4 linked regions of the Ovis aries genome follow. The protein of the gene in region 4 interacts with the protein of the main gene of each other region in a biochemical or structural test. Links are inferred from orthologs where the notes say so. Each region holds a gene or a part of one and is shown on either strand. Other genes may lie near its edges. The genes, in order: RBM15, LUC7L, PRPF38A and SRPK2.

What was found.
Region 1: of the proteins of SRPK2 (region 4) and RBM15, one has a biochemical effect on the other in vitro, tested with the Homo sapiens proteins (2 studies listed by BioGRID and IntAct). The link is inferred for Ovis aries from reciprocal best matches to the Homo sapiens genes SRPK2 and RBM15.
Region 2: of the proteins of SRPK2 (region 4) and LUC7L, one has a biochemical effect on the other in vitro, tested with the Homo sapiens proteins (2 studies listed by BioGRID and IntAct). The link is inferred for Ovis aries from reciprocal best matches to the Homo sapiens genes SRPK2 and LUC7L.
Region 3: of the proteins of SRPK2 (region 4) and PRPF38A, one has a biochemical effect on the other in vitro, tested with the Homo sapiens proteins (2 studies listed by BioGRID and IntAct). The link is inferred for Ovis aries from reciprocal best matches to the Homo sapiens genes SRPK2 and PRPF38A.

Annotation. Positions count from the first base shown.
Region 1 is NC_056054.1:87,639,703-87,643,807, forward strand, and holds the start of RBM15 (RNA-binding protein 15), read left to right. Parts: upstream 1-1,288; 5' UTR 1,289-2,176; coding exon 2,177-4,105. UniProt on the Homo sapiens protein: RNA-binding protein that acts as a key regulator of N6-methyladenosine (m6A) methylation of RNAs, thereby regulating different processes, such as hematopoietic cell homeostasis, alternative splicing of mRNAs and X chromosome inactivation mediated by Xist RNA.
Region 2 is NC_056077.1:772,945-775,746, forward strand, and holds the end of LUC7L (putative RNA-binding protein Luc7-like 1), read right to left. Parts: intron 2,131-2,802; coding exon 2,101-2,130; intron 1,741-2,100; coding exon 1,573-1,740; intron 958-1,572; coding exon 816-957; 3' UTR 614-815; downstream 1-613. UniProt on the Homo sapiens protein: May bind to RNA via its Arg/Ser-rich domain.
Region 3 is NC_056054.1:26,821,518-26,824,436, reverse strand, and holds part of PRPF38A (pre-mRNA-splicing factor 38A), read right to left. Parts: intron 2,905-2,919; coding exon 2,807-2,904; intron 2,391-2,806; coding exon 2,342-2,390; intron 1,454-2,341; coding exon 1,411-1,453; 3' UTR 1-1,410. UniProt on the Homo sapiens protein: Involved in pre-mRNA splicing as a component of the spliceosome.
Region 4 is NC_056057.1:47,825,040-47,828,659, forward strand, and holds part of SRPK2 (SRSF protein kinase 2), read right to left. Parts: intron 2,724-3,620; coding exon 2,698-2,723; intron 1,241-2,697; coding exon 994-1,240; intron 433-993; coding exon 1-432. UniProt on the Homo sapiens protein: Serine/arginine-rich protein-specific kinase which specifically phosphorylates its substrates at serine residues located in regions rich in arginine/serine dipeptides, known as RS domains and is involved in the phosphorylation of SR splicing factors and the regulation of splicing.

The sequences.
Region 1 (4,105 bases), on a different chromosome or scaffold from region 4:
GTGGTCATGTATGGCTGTGAGAGTTGGACTGTGAAGAAAGCTGAGCTCCGAAGAATTGATGCTTTTGAACTGTGGTGTTGGAGAAGACTCTTGAGAGTCCCTTGGACTGCAAGGAGATCCAACCAGTCCATTCTGAAGATCAGCCCTGGGATTTCTTTGGAAGGAATGATGCTAAAGCTGAAACTCCAGTACTTTGGCCACCTCATGCGAAGAGTTGACTCAATGGAAAAGACTGATGCTGGGAGAGATTGGGGGCAGAAGGGGATGACAGAGGATGAGATGGCTGGATGGCATCACTGACTTGATGGACATGAGTTTGGGTAAATTCAGGGAGTTGGTGATGGACAGGGAGGCCTGGCATGCTGCGATTTATGGGGTCGCAAAGAGTCGGACATGACTGAGCGATTGAACTGAACTGAGTTTTCAGTCTCTAAAAGTTTCAAAGTTTAGGTTTCAGTTTGGGGGACCTAGTTACCTCAAAAGATGTCATGTTTAAAAACATGTCACATTGTCTCCTACAGATAGAATCTTGAGAGATGCAGTTGAAGAAAGGATCTATACAAGAATCCCCTTTCCTCTGCCCAGAGGACTTGAGGAGGAATGCATAAAAGCTTAGCCCTGTGATGAACTCAGCACTACCTCCCTTCATCGGATAGAAACACCAGCACCCCACACAAGAGCTTTACTGTCTGACACAATGAAGGTCTATGGAAAGAAATTTGGGTTAAAACGGCGAATGATTTTCAGAGTCAAAAGAGATGGACTTAGATAGCAAGGTGGCTGTTCTACCCTGTTCTGAAGGTGAGGGCACGTACAAGAAACCACAGGAAAAAACGCGACACATCTGCAGGCAGCAAAGTACATTCATTTCATTCGATTATTTACCAGGGAAGGTTGTTAACATATAAAAATCTAACGCAGCTATATTATCGGACAAAACCCGAAATCTACGTGAATTTGCAACATAAATCAGGAAGCCCAGACTCGTCCGTCGTGGCCCGAGTCCCCACCCTGCCTATAGGAGTCAAAACTGGAAGCTTCAGTCTCTCTTTTTCCTAGGTTACCCCAGGACACTCGGGCGGGAACGAATCGCACCGAGCAGTGCCGACTTCCAGCCTGGGCTAAGCACCAGCTCCAGAGCTGCGGGACCCCAAAGGCCTGAGCTCAGCTTACGACCCGACCCGCCCCCGGGCGTTAGTGTGACCCGGCCCTTCCTGAACTGTGAACCTGGCCCTACCGGCGCCGCGGGCCCCAGTGCGCTTTCTTGCGTACGGTGGGTGGGGCTTTTAAAGGCCGTTCACGCAAAGGCCAACGGCGCTAAGATGGTGTCCGCTGGGCGCCCCGGGACGGTTTCCTGAAGGATTCGCGGGCCCAGCGGTGGGAGGGAAGAGGCAGAAGCCCAGCGCCTGGTCCCACACAGGTAGGAGGTAGGACGCCTAGAAGTTCTGAGGTCCGAGGGCCAAACCCCAACCAAGTACGCCGTGGGAGCGAACAAATGTTGGAAAGGAAAACGCCGAACGCAGAAAGGCGGAACGGTCTCATGGTCACCATTTCGCGACGTCTAAGTGACGTCGCACAGCAAGCGCGTATTCTACTCTTTCACCTTCAGACAGCCTCCTCATTGTAAGAGCCTACGCCTTTAAGCGAGTGATGGACAGTTATTTCGGCCTATCAACTTCATCGTCAACATCCAATCAGATTTAAACTTCTTTCAGCCGCCGGAGGAGTTGGAAGAAAGGCATCGAAAGAGGGAGCTTTCTCTCTCTCGCGAGATCGCTGTGAGCCGGCCTCTCAGAAAAAAAAAAAATGCTAGAACATATGGCCTGACTTCCCAAATAGTAGGTTAAAGGACGGGGTCATAAACCAATGAAAGTTATGAGGAGGCGGGATCACTGCTTTCGCCCCGCAAGAAGTACCGTTAGAGGGCGGACTTTTTGTCCAATCAACGCCTCCAGACTTTGGGTCAGGTGACCATCGAGTGCAAGGGGCGGAGCTACAGTCTGGCGCGAGGAACCGTTAAGATGGACAACGAATATAACCAATGAGGTACTCTGACTAGGGCGTTGAGAACCCAATAACAGTGGTTGGGCGGGCGCCTTCCCGGAGCGCGGGGAGATGTAAAGACAGACAAATAGTTTTCCCAATGAGACTGTAGAAGAGCGGAGCTAATTGACCAATGAAGACTGCGGGGCGGGACCCTCTGCCGCGGCACAGTCCAAGATGGCGGCGTGCGGTTCCGCTGTGTGAAACCAGCGCGGGGCGGCGGGTTAGTCAGTTCCGCGGAGAAGATCTCCGACGCCCCGCTACCATGAAGGGAAAAGAGCGCTCTCCGGTCAAGCCGAAACGCTCCCGTGGTGGTGAGGATTCGACTTCCCGCGGGGAGCGGAGCAAGAAGTTAGGGGGCTCTGGTGGCAGCAATGGGAGCAGCAGCGGAAAGACCGACGGCGGCGGCGGGTCGCGGCGCAGCCTTCATCTGGACAAGTCTAGCAGCCGAGGTGGTAGCCGCGAGTACGACACCGGAGGGGGCAGCTCCAGTAGCCGCTTGCATAGTTACAGCTCCCCAAGCACCAAAAATTCCTCGGGCGGGGGCGAGTCGCGCAGCAGCTCCCGGGGTGGAGGCGGGGAGTCACGTTCCTCTGGGGCCGCCTCTTCGGCTCCTGGCGGCGGCGATGGCGGGGAATACAAGACACTGAAGATAAGCGAGTTGGGGTCCCAGCTGAGTGACGAAGCAGTGGAGGACGGATTGTTTCACGAGTTTAAACGCTTCGGTGATGTAAGTGTCAAAATCAGTCATCTCTCGGGTTCTGGCAGCGGGGATGAGCGAGTAGCCTTTGTGAACTTCCGGCGGCCAGAGGACGCGCGGGCGGCCAAGCATGCCAGAGGCCGCCTAGTGCTCTATGACCGGCCTCTGAAGATAGAAGCTGTGTATGTGAGCCGGCGCCGTAGCCGCTCCCCTTTAGACAAAGATTCCTATCCTCCTTCAGCCAGTGTGGTCGGGTCCTCTGTAGGTGGTCACCGGCACCCCCCTGGAGGAGGTGGTGGAGGCCAGAGATCACTTTCCCCTGGTGGTGCAGCCTTGGGATACAGAGACTACCGGTTGCAGCAGTTGGCCCTTGGCCGCCTGCCCCCTCCACCTCCGCCACCACTGCCCCGAGATCTGGAGAGAGAGCGAGACTACTCGTTCTATGAGAGAGTGCGCCCAGCCTACAGTCTTGAGCCAAGGGTGGGAACTGGAGCAGGTGCCGCTCCTTTCAGAGAAGTAGATGAGATCTCACCCGAGGATGACCAGCGAGCTAACCGGACGCTTTTCTTGGGCAACCTAGACATCACTGTGACAGAGAGTGATCTAAGAAGGGCTTTTGACCGTTTCGGAGTCATCACAGAGGTAGACATCAAGAGGCCTTCTCGGGGCCAGACCAGTACCTATGGCTTTCTCAAATTTGAAAATCTAGATATGTCTCACCGGGCCAAACTAGCGATGTCTGGCAAAATTATCATTCGGAATCCTATCAAAATTGGCTATGGCAAAGCTACACCGACCACCCGCCTTTGGGTAGGTGGCCTGGGTCCTTGGGTGCCTCTTGCTGCCCTGGCACGGGAGTTTGACCGGTTTGGCACCATACGCACCATTGACTACCGCAAAGGTGATAGTTGGGCATATATCCAGTACGAAAGCCTGGATGCAGCTCATGCTGCCTGGACCCATATGAGGGGCTTCCCACTTGGTGGCCCAGATCGTCGCCTTAGAGTAGACTTTGCAGACACAGAACATCGTTACCAGCAGCAATATCTGCAGCCTCTGCCGTTAACTCATTATGAACTGGTGACAGATGCTTTTGGACACCGGGCACCAGACCCTTTGAGGGGTGCTCGGGATAGGACACCACCCTTACTGTACAGAGATCGTGATAGGGACCTTTATCCTGACTCTGATTGGGTTCCACCCCCACCCCCAGTCCGTGAACGCAGCACTCGGACTGCAGCTACGGCTGTGCCTGCTTATGAGCCACTGGATAGCCTGGATCGCAGGCGGGATGGCTGGTCGTTGGACCGGGACAGAGGTGACCGAGATCTGCCCAGCAGCAGAGACCAACCTAGGAAGCGA
Region 2 (2,802 bases), on a different chromosome or scaffold from region 4:
ATGGCAATCCATTCCAGTAGGTTGCCTGGAGAATCCCAAGGACAGAGGAGCCTGGCCACTACAGTCCATAGGGTTACAAAGAATCAGACATGACTGAGCACGGACAGTCATCCTCCCTCTGAAAAGTGAAAAAATGAAAGAGCTCCCAGTTGTATTGTCAGAATAGCTCACTTTAGTCTCAAGATACAAGCAGAAGGGCTGAGGGAGACTGGATAATACCACCAGCCCTGCCAAGGGTGAGCAGAGCCACGACTGACCCCAAAGGTAACGTGCCCTCCTCTGAGGACCTCGTGGCCGTCATGTCGACCTTTCTGTGGGTCTTTGCTCGGAGTAACTCCGAGACAGGGAACTGCAGCTTATCTGAGCTCCAGCACTGGGCGGAGGCTGCCGACCACAAACCAGACAGGCAGTCCTCCAAAGAAATGGGGGAAGAGAACAGCTTGGACCTCAGAAGGACACACGGGGCAGGGAGAGCATAATGCAGAGGGGAGCCCGAGGATGAGTCACATTTCTGGGCTGCGTGCAGGTGACCCGGGCGTGCCCCCCGCCCTGTGGAAGGCATGGCAAGCCCAGCGCAGCCAGGACAGCAGAGAACGCACGGCGGCCGCCGGGAGGCAGTCTGTCAGGTTGTTTATTCCCACTCGACATAACCCAGAGCACAGGAGCAACTCTGTACACCTCTAGAAACTTACAGCTAGCTCCAAAACAATAGAAATGTTAAACTACAAAAGATGAGCTGTATTCCGCAAATAGAAAGGGTGACGTGAGGCCGTGTCAAACGCGGATCGGACTATTTACAGCGCCTGGGCGTGGGCTCAGATCTCGCCGGCCTCCTTCTCCTCTGACCTCCGCGATGCAGCCTTCCCGTTGGCGCTCTCAAGCCTCCAGTCGGTGGCCCCCCGCTCACTCCGCCCGCGCTCCCAGGACTCCTCCCTGGAAGTCCGCTCTCGGGAGAACCTGGGGAAAGGGAACCAGAGGCTCATCGAGGGCTGGCCCTCCCTCCTGGGTGCTCCCCAGGCGCGGACACCGAGGACCCTCCATGCGAGGGAAGGGAAGACCCGCACAGCGGGGAGGGCCAAGCAGGAGCCGCACAGGGAGGGCCGGGCAGCTAACACAGAGTGGCGTTTTCAGAGGGCTCTAGTAACAGGGACAGCTTTCCCTAAAATGCAAACAGTGCAAAGGAAGATGCAGCACGAGCTGATCCATCATGTAAAAGCACAATGGAGGAAAAGCATTACCAAAGCGAGAGGTGGTCATCTCAGAACATGGCCATCAGTAGTGTCTTTTTTTAAATCACAACCTGGGTGAGCAGCCTATCAGGGCTGTGTGCACCACAGTGGCAGTGCGTGTGTAGCCCAAGCACAGCCTCGCCTACACGGGACACCTCTGCAGCTCTCAACTGTCCAGCCCTGAAGCCCCCTGCTGCCCCCAGCAGGTGGACTCCCAGAGCCCTGGGCCCCGTCAGGACCCTCAAGGCCTCAACGCTCAGTCCCTGGGTGACAGCCCCCAGGGCTTGGCGCACAGAGCAGGGCTCCACTCCTGCTGCAAATACTGAAGGAGCAGAGTAGTTACTTGTATTTCGAGCTCCGGTCCCTGGATGCCCGGCGATGGCCACGGCTGTGGCTCCGGGAGCGACTTCGGTGGCGCCGGTGTCTGTCCCGGGACCGGGAGCGGGACGACTTCCGCCGCTCTCTAGAAGTAGACCTCGACCGCCTGCGACGTCGGTCCCGGGAGCGCGACCTGCAACAGAGGCTGTGCTGACACCTTACTGCTGTATCTGCTCTCTCCTCCCAGACTTGTAACCCGGTTCACAATCGTCCCCTCAACGCCACCCTGGTCACAAATAACTGGCCAGACTCGCCCCACCAATGCTTCCGGAAACACGCCAGGAACTTTCTGATCATCCTTCTCACTGACAGTGAACGCCCACCCCACACTGCACTGCGCCCCAACCAGGGCTCTCTTTCTAACCCATGCCCTGTGCCCTTTGTGACCAGCCCTGACCCCAGACAACAAATGCCAAGTTATAAAGGCTAAGTATCAAGAAAAAAGCACATGGAAAAGGACATCTTACTGAGAATATATCAATGGAAAACCTACCTCCTGCGATCTCTTGTTCTTGATCCAGACCTAAAATGGAAAAAAAGATGAGCAATTTCCCAAAAACAGCCCAATTCCTTATAGCTGAGGGGAGGTGCCCCATGTCCACATGGTGACGAGGGTCAACTTCCCACAGGACCTGCTTTGAGGCCCGCCCAGGGGCCACCACCTGTTGGAGGGACAAGGAAGAGACCAGCACCCAGGGGTCCATGCTGCACTGAGCTGAACCAGTGGTTCTGCAAACTTCACAGCGGACACCAACCCAGCTACACAGACAGTCACAGTGCAGGGCTGGGCAGGACACCCAAGCTCCAAACACAGGCTCACTTTCCTGGGAGTGCTGCAGGAGCTCCCGGAAAACAGTACACAACCAGCAATGGAAGAAATGCACTTGAGGGACCTTCCCTGGTGGTCCAGTGGTTGAGAATCCACCCTGCAATGCAGGGGACATGAGTTCAATCCCTGGTCAGGGAACTAAGATCTCACATGCCATGGGGAAACTAAGACTGCATGCCACAACTACTGAGTCTACGTGCTCTGGAGCCCATGTGCCTGATACAAAGATTCCACATAAGAGGAAGACCCTCAGTTCAGTTCAGTCGCTCTGTCATGTCCAACTCCTTGCGACCCCATGAACTGCAGCACGCCAGGTCTCCCTGTCCATCACCGACTCCCGGAGTCCACCCAAACCCATGTCCATCG
Region 3 (2,919 bases), on a different chromosome or scaffold from region 4:
CAGTTGGTCTTCATAATTGTTGCCAGGGGCAGAGCTGCAGGAAATGTCAATTATTTTTTTCCATTTTAAAGGAGGAAAGGTAAGTACAGGTAGACAGAACTCCTCTAGCAAAGATCCAACACCCTCTTGATTATCAGTACCCATGGGCACTATTTAATCCTTATTTTGCTTCTTTGTCCTTAGCATCCTTAACCCATCTCTCCCATTTCCTCTACCTTTCTGAAATGATTCAATTATTTCAATTTTCAGTCAGTGTTTGCCCTTCTTCCTCAACAGAGTGAGTGTTGCTTATGATTCTACTACTAGTTTTCCTTACAAATGTACGCTCCCTAGGCATTCCATTCAATTCTACACCTACAATTACCTAAACATTGTTAATTCAGGGTTAGATCACTAGCTCAACTCCAGTTCTTATTTATAATGTCTGGGCTTTATCTAGATATACCATGGCTGTCTCAAAGTAAACTTCAAGTTAAGCTGAATGCATTTTTTTCTCCCTACTACCACAATTCTCACTACCTGCCCCTCTAAAACCTGGTTTCTTCCTGCTGTATTTTCTGGTTTTGTGAATGGTGCTGTTGTCCAGTAACTCAGGTTAAAACTCTGACTGGCATTAGATATTTTTTCTCTCCATTGAACGTTTTCATCCTGGTTGCCCTGCTGCTACTGCTAGTCTTGATAATATCAATGCTCATAGCATAAAGGTGCTGAGCACCTTAATTTGGAATTCAAGGCTGTAGGGAAGAAGAAACACTATACAATAATGCTATGTAATAGGTGTCAAGTTTTACTGTTTGTTGAACGTTTAATGCAACTGGATTAAATGATCCAGAAAAAGCCTTACAACTGAATTCATTCTTATAAAGCTGCTGATAACAGGTCAGTTTTCATGTTTATTACCATTTGCTGCTGCTGGAAGTAAAACCTGGAGCTAATATATTTTACCGACTTGTTTTTTTTTAATGGAACAGCAGCACATATCTCAGAATTCTCAAAACAGTTCAAATCTCAGTGTAAACCAAAACTAAAACCACAGAAAAACAGGAAATGGGTGTGTCAAGTTTAATAACAAAAATAACAAGGTGGCCACATCCTCCCCTTGTTTCATACACTCTATTTGAATCCATTCTACCCTCATAAATTTGAGTATAAACAAGTTTGTACAAAGAAGCCAAAAGCAGCTCTCAGTTCAGGAACCATTATCTTTCAAATGTGTGGATTACGTACAATTCATAAAGAGATACAAAACTCAGCACCTCTTCCATGTTAAAAAAAAGTGAAGAAAATGTGGTTTAAAAAAAATCTAAAATACTCTCATAGCTGCCTGGGACTGAGTAGATCTTTCTTTCACGTAGACAGATGCCTTCATCTCCACAGAAGGCCACTTGTATTAAAACCAAACTGAGTCCATTACTCATTCCCTCTCCGGCTCTTCTTGTGGCTTTTCTTAGACCTGAAATGGTGACACATACAAATCATTAAATTTACCAGCTGTTTTAGGAGCTGAGGAAGGATTTTTGAGAAAGACTGATACGTGCTAACACTGATGGGGGACAAAGACAGTCAATATTCATTAAAGGTACTTGGTGTTTTATGTTTAAGAGCAACACTGAGTTAGGCATTACTCTCCAAATTTATCATTGAAGAAATGACCTCTGAGAGATCGAGTGCTTCCAACAGTGTACAGTTTCTAGAGGTATCTAATGAAAGCTTACCAAATGAAAATGACTTATCCAATGTCATTCAACTGCTAAGTATTAAAAATTGGGACTGAGACTTCCCTAGTGGTCCTGTGGTTAGGAATCTGCCTGCCAATGCAGGGGACACGGGTTCAATCCTTGGTCCAGGAAGACCCCACGTGCTATGGGGCAGCTATGCCTGTGTACTGCAGCTGCGAAGCCCATGAGCCCTAGGGCCTGTGCTCTGCAATAGGAGGGGTCACTGCAGTGAGAGGCCTACATACTGTGGCTGGAGAGTAGCCTTTGTTCACCACAACTAGACAGGGCCCAGGAGCAAAGAAAGCCCAGTGTGGCCAGAAGTAAATACATTTTAAAAAATCTTAAAAGCTGGGAAGGAACCCCAGGTCTCCTGAGATTAAGGCTCATGCCTTTATCCAAAGCCGCAATCCTACAAGAAAAATAACTTCATGTATATATAATTCTAGTAATTTTCAGGGCAAGAGACCACTTTGTCCTATAATTAAGGAGAATTCCTAAACTGTATTGGTGGAGATTATATCCACTAACACAAGAATATTTCAGGTCTAACTGAGTTGTAATTGGGACTTTAATTTGTGAGTAAAGACTTAAATTCTTAAGTCAAAATAGAAGCTAATCCATACCTTTCAGGAGATTTTGAGTGGCTCCTGTGTCTGTGACTACGGTGATGACCTGGAGAAGAAGAAAGACTATTCAGTGTACCAGTTTCTATCCTCATACTCTCTGCTGTTATTTCCCCTAGTTTATTTTTGGCTTGTGATAGGGACACCTTGTTGGTAGCAAAGAACTGAACCCACTTAGCCTTCAGGACTTTATGGCTAAATTTCACTAACACCACACTGGGTATTTACCACTACTCTGTCATGTCTTACTCCTATAATTTCAGATGAAAACTGAAGCTCACCATCCTATCAACAAAGCTGGCAAATGACAGTTAAAATGTCAACTCTAATTTTCAAATTCTATGTCCACTTCCTTTTCTAGGCAGTAATAAAGTAAGGTACTCCTGTATTGTAGGAGGCTAATTGCTCCTATTACATTTCTTTATTGAGACAACCAACAGCAAGCAAAAGGCCCTAATGCTATACCTGGGGACTTGGAGCGGGATCTGTGCCGTCTATCTCGGGACCTGCTGCGATGACGTCTTGGACTCTTGCTCCGATGCCGTTCTCTGCGAGGGGAGGGGCTGTGGAAATGACTG
Region 4 (3,620 bases):
GGGATGGACTGCCTTCCTCATGCTCAGTAAGGGGGGATCCCTCAGAAAGTGCAGAGCCACAAGCCACAGGTTCTAAGGGCCCAGAGAACAATGATGTGGAAAATTCTGGAAACTGTGACTCGGGAATTTTATGTCGTCCATTTGGCAATTCACCATTGAATTGTTCATAGGAGCTGCTATATGTGTAATCGCTTTCTGCATTTGGCTCATCGAGGTTACATTCCTCAGGATTTGGGCAATCTTCCTCATCATCGTCTTCATCATCCAGCTGTTGCTCCAGTAAGAAGGGGCCGTTCTCAATATGGCCGTTAGTTTTCGGTGATTCTATCCAGGTAGGGTCTATGTTCGCAAGCTCCTGTTCGACATCGTCTTCATCTTTCTCAGTGTTTTCTTTCTCAGTGTCTTCTTTCTCCTCCTGGTCCTCAGCTTCCCCTTAAGAAGTGGAAGGGTGAGAATTAGAACTTGTCATTCTCCTTAACAGAGTGCACTAGGCATTTATCCTCTCCAACAAGAGACATGTTTGAACATGCTAATTTCACTCGCTACACAGCAAACACCTCTGGGCTCTCAGGGTAAATCTCCAGGTTCTCTAAATCTTATTTTTCATTTACTAAATAACTAGGCTACTCTTATTAGAGAAAGCTAGCTCTTAGAGAAAATGAGCATAAATAGAGCTGTATTTCCATTTTCTACCCTCTCCTCTATAATCTTCAGAGATTGTCTAAGGGTACATTACTGATGAGTCAAAGCTTAATTACAAAATGAAGGACAATCATTAACATGATAAAGACATGGTGCTTCTCAGACATTTTCCATTGGAAAACAAAAACTATTCTGAAACATGTTTCTGGTGCCTATTTTACAAAGCAAGTATCAGACAGCTCCCACATTCTCCAGGGATGACTTGGAATGCCCTCAGGTCTGAAACACAGCAGCGCCAAGTCGCCCTGCGTGAGGCCCTGGGGTGCAGCCGGCTCTCCAGCACTCACTGACCGTTGTTATTCGCAGTCTCTCCCTCGGCCACCTCCTCCAGTCCTGCTGTTTTTAGCTTCACCTCTGGGTGGTATTCATCATCTTGCTCATTGGAAGGTACAACTGACGTGACGTTTTCCTCTATTATTTTTCTTTCAGCTTCTCGCTCCAATTCTTCTATTTCCTGCAAGCGCTTTTCCAGTAACTCAGCCTGCCTTTTCTGCTTCTTTTTCATTTTTTTCTTTTTGTTTTTAGATATTTTTCCTATCTACAACATGTTAAGAAAATAGCACAGGTTAGTTTGCTTCTTTTTAAAGCACTATGCAGCAGCATCTAAGTGCTGGCAACATGGCAAATACCAACACAGTCTGTTTTCTCAGGTCTATTCAATTAAAATCACATGCCCAGACATGAGATCCACAATATGGTTAACATTGCAGCAAAGCCAGAAAAAAAAGAAACCAGTGCTGATATCAAGTAGCGGGACTACTACCAGCTCCTGCCAATGGAGAGATACAGCGTAAACCCAGCAAGCCTTTTCCCTTTAAATTCTACGAACTAACTATGCCAAGGCATTTCTGCCTTTAGACAAGAAGCATCTCTTGCAAGTTTCATTTGCTGCTACCTGTCTACAAAGTATTAACAATGTTCCCTCTCTTTACTGTCTTACTCAACTGTCTGCCAAAACAGGTGTACTTCATTCGTGTTTGGTCAACAGCGCTGTTTGTGCTTGGGTCTCACACACCAAGTTGTTAAAAACAGCCAAGACAGCAGGAACTGTAAGAAATGAGCATATGAAGTAAAGGGAAAAAAAGACAAAGCCATGGTTTCAGTCTGCCTCCAGTCATGGCCATCTGACTTGGAAAGTACTGGCAATGGGATCCTCCAGTCTTTCACAGAACCAATAATCAAAGCAAACTGCTCAAGCCACGGCAGAGCTCAGCAGGCCAGGCGGCAGAATTCTTACAGCTCCTCCTCCTGCTGGGACTCCCACTGCAGGCTGAGGGTTGCTGGCTGCACTCTGGAGTTCTGCACATTTCCTTCCGAGGGCTTTCGGGTCATAAAGACCTTTAAAACTTGCAGGTGACCCATCAACTTGAGAGATATATATATATTCTATGCTTAACTGGAACCAAGCCTAAACCAGGTTTAGATCTAGAATTTAATTCCAAACAGCCTGCTTCATTTGTTCACACTTGGAATTTTGATAGGACCACACAGATAATGCTCTTTCACATTTAACTACTAGCTGGAAAAAAATTAGAACAGCAGCTTCAGAAAAAACAGGTAACTTAGAGGCAAATCAGAAATAATAGAAAGTGTCTGTGGAATAATCACACTTAAAACCCTATCTCTATAACCTCACATTTTATCAGACTCAGCCAACAGCACTCCAGAAAGTACACGAGGAAAATACAGAATTTGGGACAGCTCTAATTATCCCACCTCTAAAAATCACTTCACTTTTTCAAAATATTGTCTTGCATATTCAAGTATACGCAGCATTTATAAATATGGCTGTCTTTTACGCTAAAATACATGACAACATCTATGACTGAGAAAGGAACAACAACAACAAAAAAAGTAAAACTAATTCCCTCAAACAACCCTTAAAAAAAAGTTGTTGCAGAAAGAAACAAAAACTAATGTTACAATTAGAAAAGTTCAGTAATGACTAGTCACTTTTGACAAGGAGGTAATAGAAGTATATATGTAAGTACTTACAGGCTTTTGCTGTGGAGCGGTACTCACTAAAAACAAAACAAAATAAAGTGAACATTTAGAGTGAAACAGATACTTATCTTTTTGTAGGTAATCTGAACTGTAAAATGAAATAACTACTGCCTTTTAATGGCTATGCAACTTAAACAACTTTAAACAGCTTTAAATATTAAAGCTTGTTAATCATAGAGTCCTAAAGAAAGTTTATCCAACTCAAACAAATGATTGGCTCTTAAAAAGCAAAGCCATAGTGGTTCACATGGAGTCATTTCTCTTATTAACCTGAAATTAAACACTTATTCATTTCAAAAACACACAATCACAAAACACTGACTGGTAAGAAAAATGGAGAAGAGTGACAAAACCCAACTTGTTTATAGACAAAGAAATGAACAATTAACTTCCACATCTCTGTTTGAAAACTATTTCACAAGTTCATACAACTAAAATAGATCCAATACTACTACAAATAGTCTAGAAATGACATGAACAGACTTGGCCAATGTCAAAAGCTTCACAGACTATGGTTCCATTATCTAAACAGCAACCTGATGGTAGAAAACAAGATTCATAAGTGGTTCATCTGCCAAAAGCCTCAGTTTGAGGGCTTTCACTCTGCAGTCCCTGTGCTACCTGACAACACACTAGGGCAGAAAGCACGTGCAGACAGGATGAAAGCATCATCCACACTTCATGGCCACCTTGACACCTTGTGAAAACCAGAAATAAAACTTCATACACCAATGCTCAAGTCAGTTGATCTTCTTTCACCCTGAAGTTCTTGTAACTAATTTTAAGTGCACCAGTTACACTGATGTAACTATGCTCAATGGAGACAAGGAAGCATGCTGACGATTGTAGGTTGGCTACAGGAAACCTGTTACTATACACTCCTTTGTAGAGAAGTGGCCGACGCAGACAGAGTT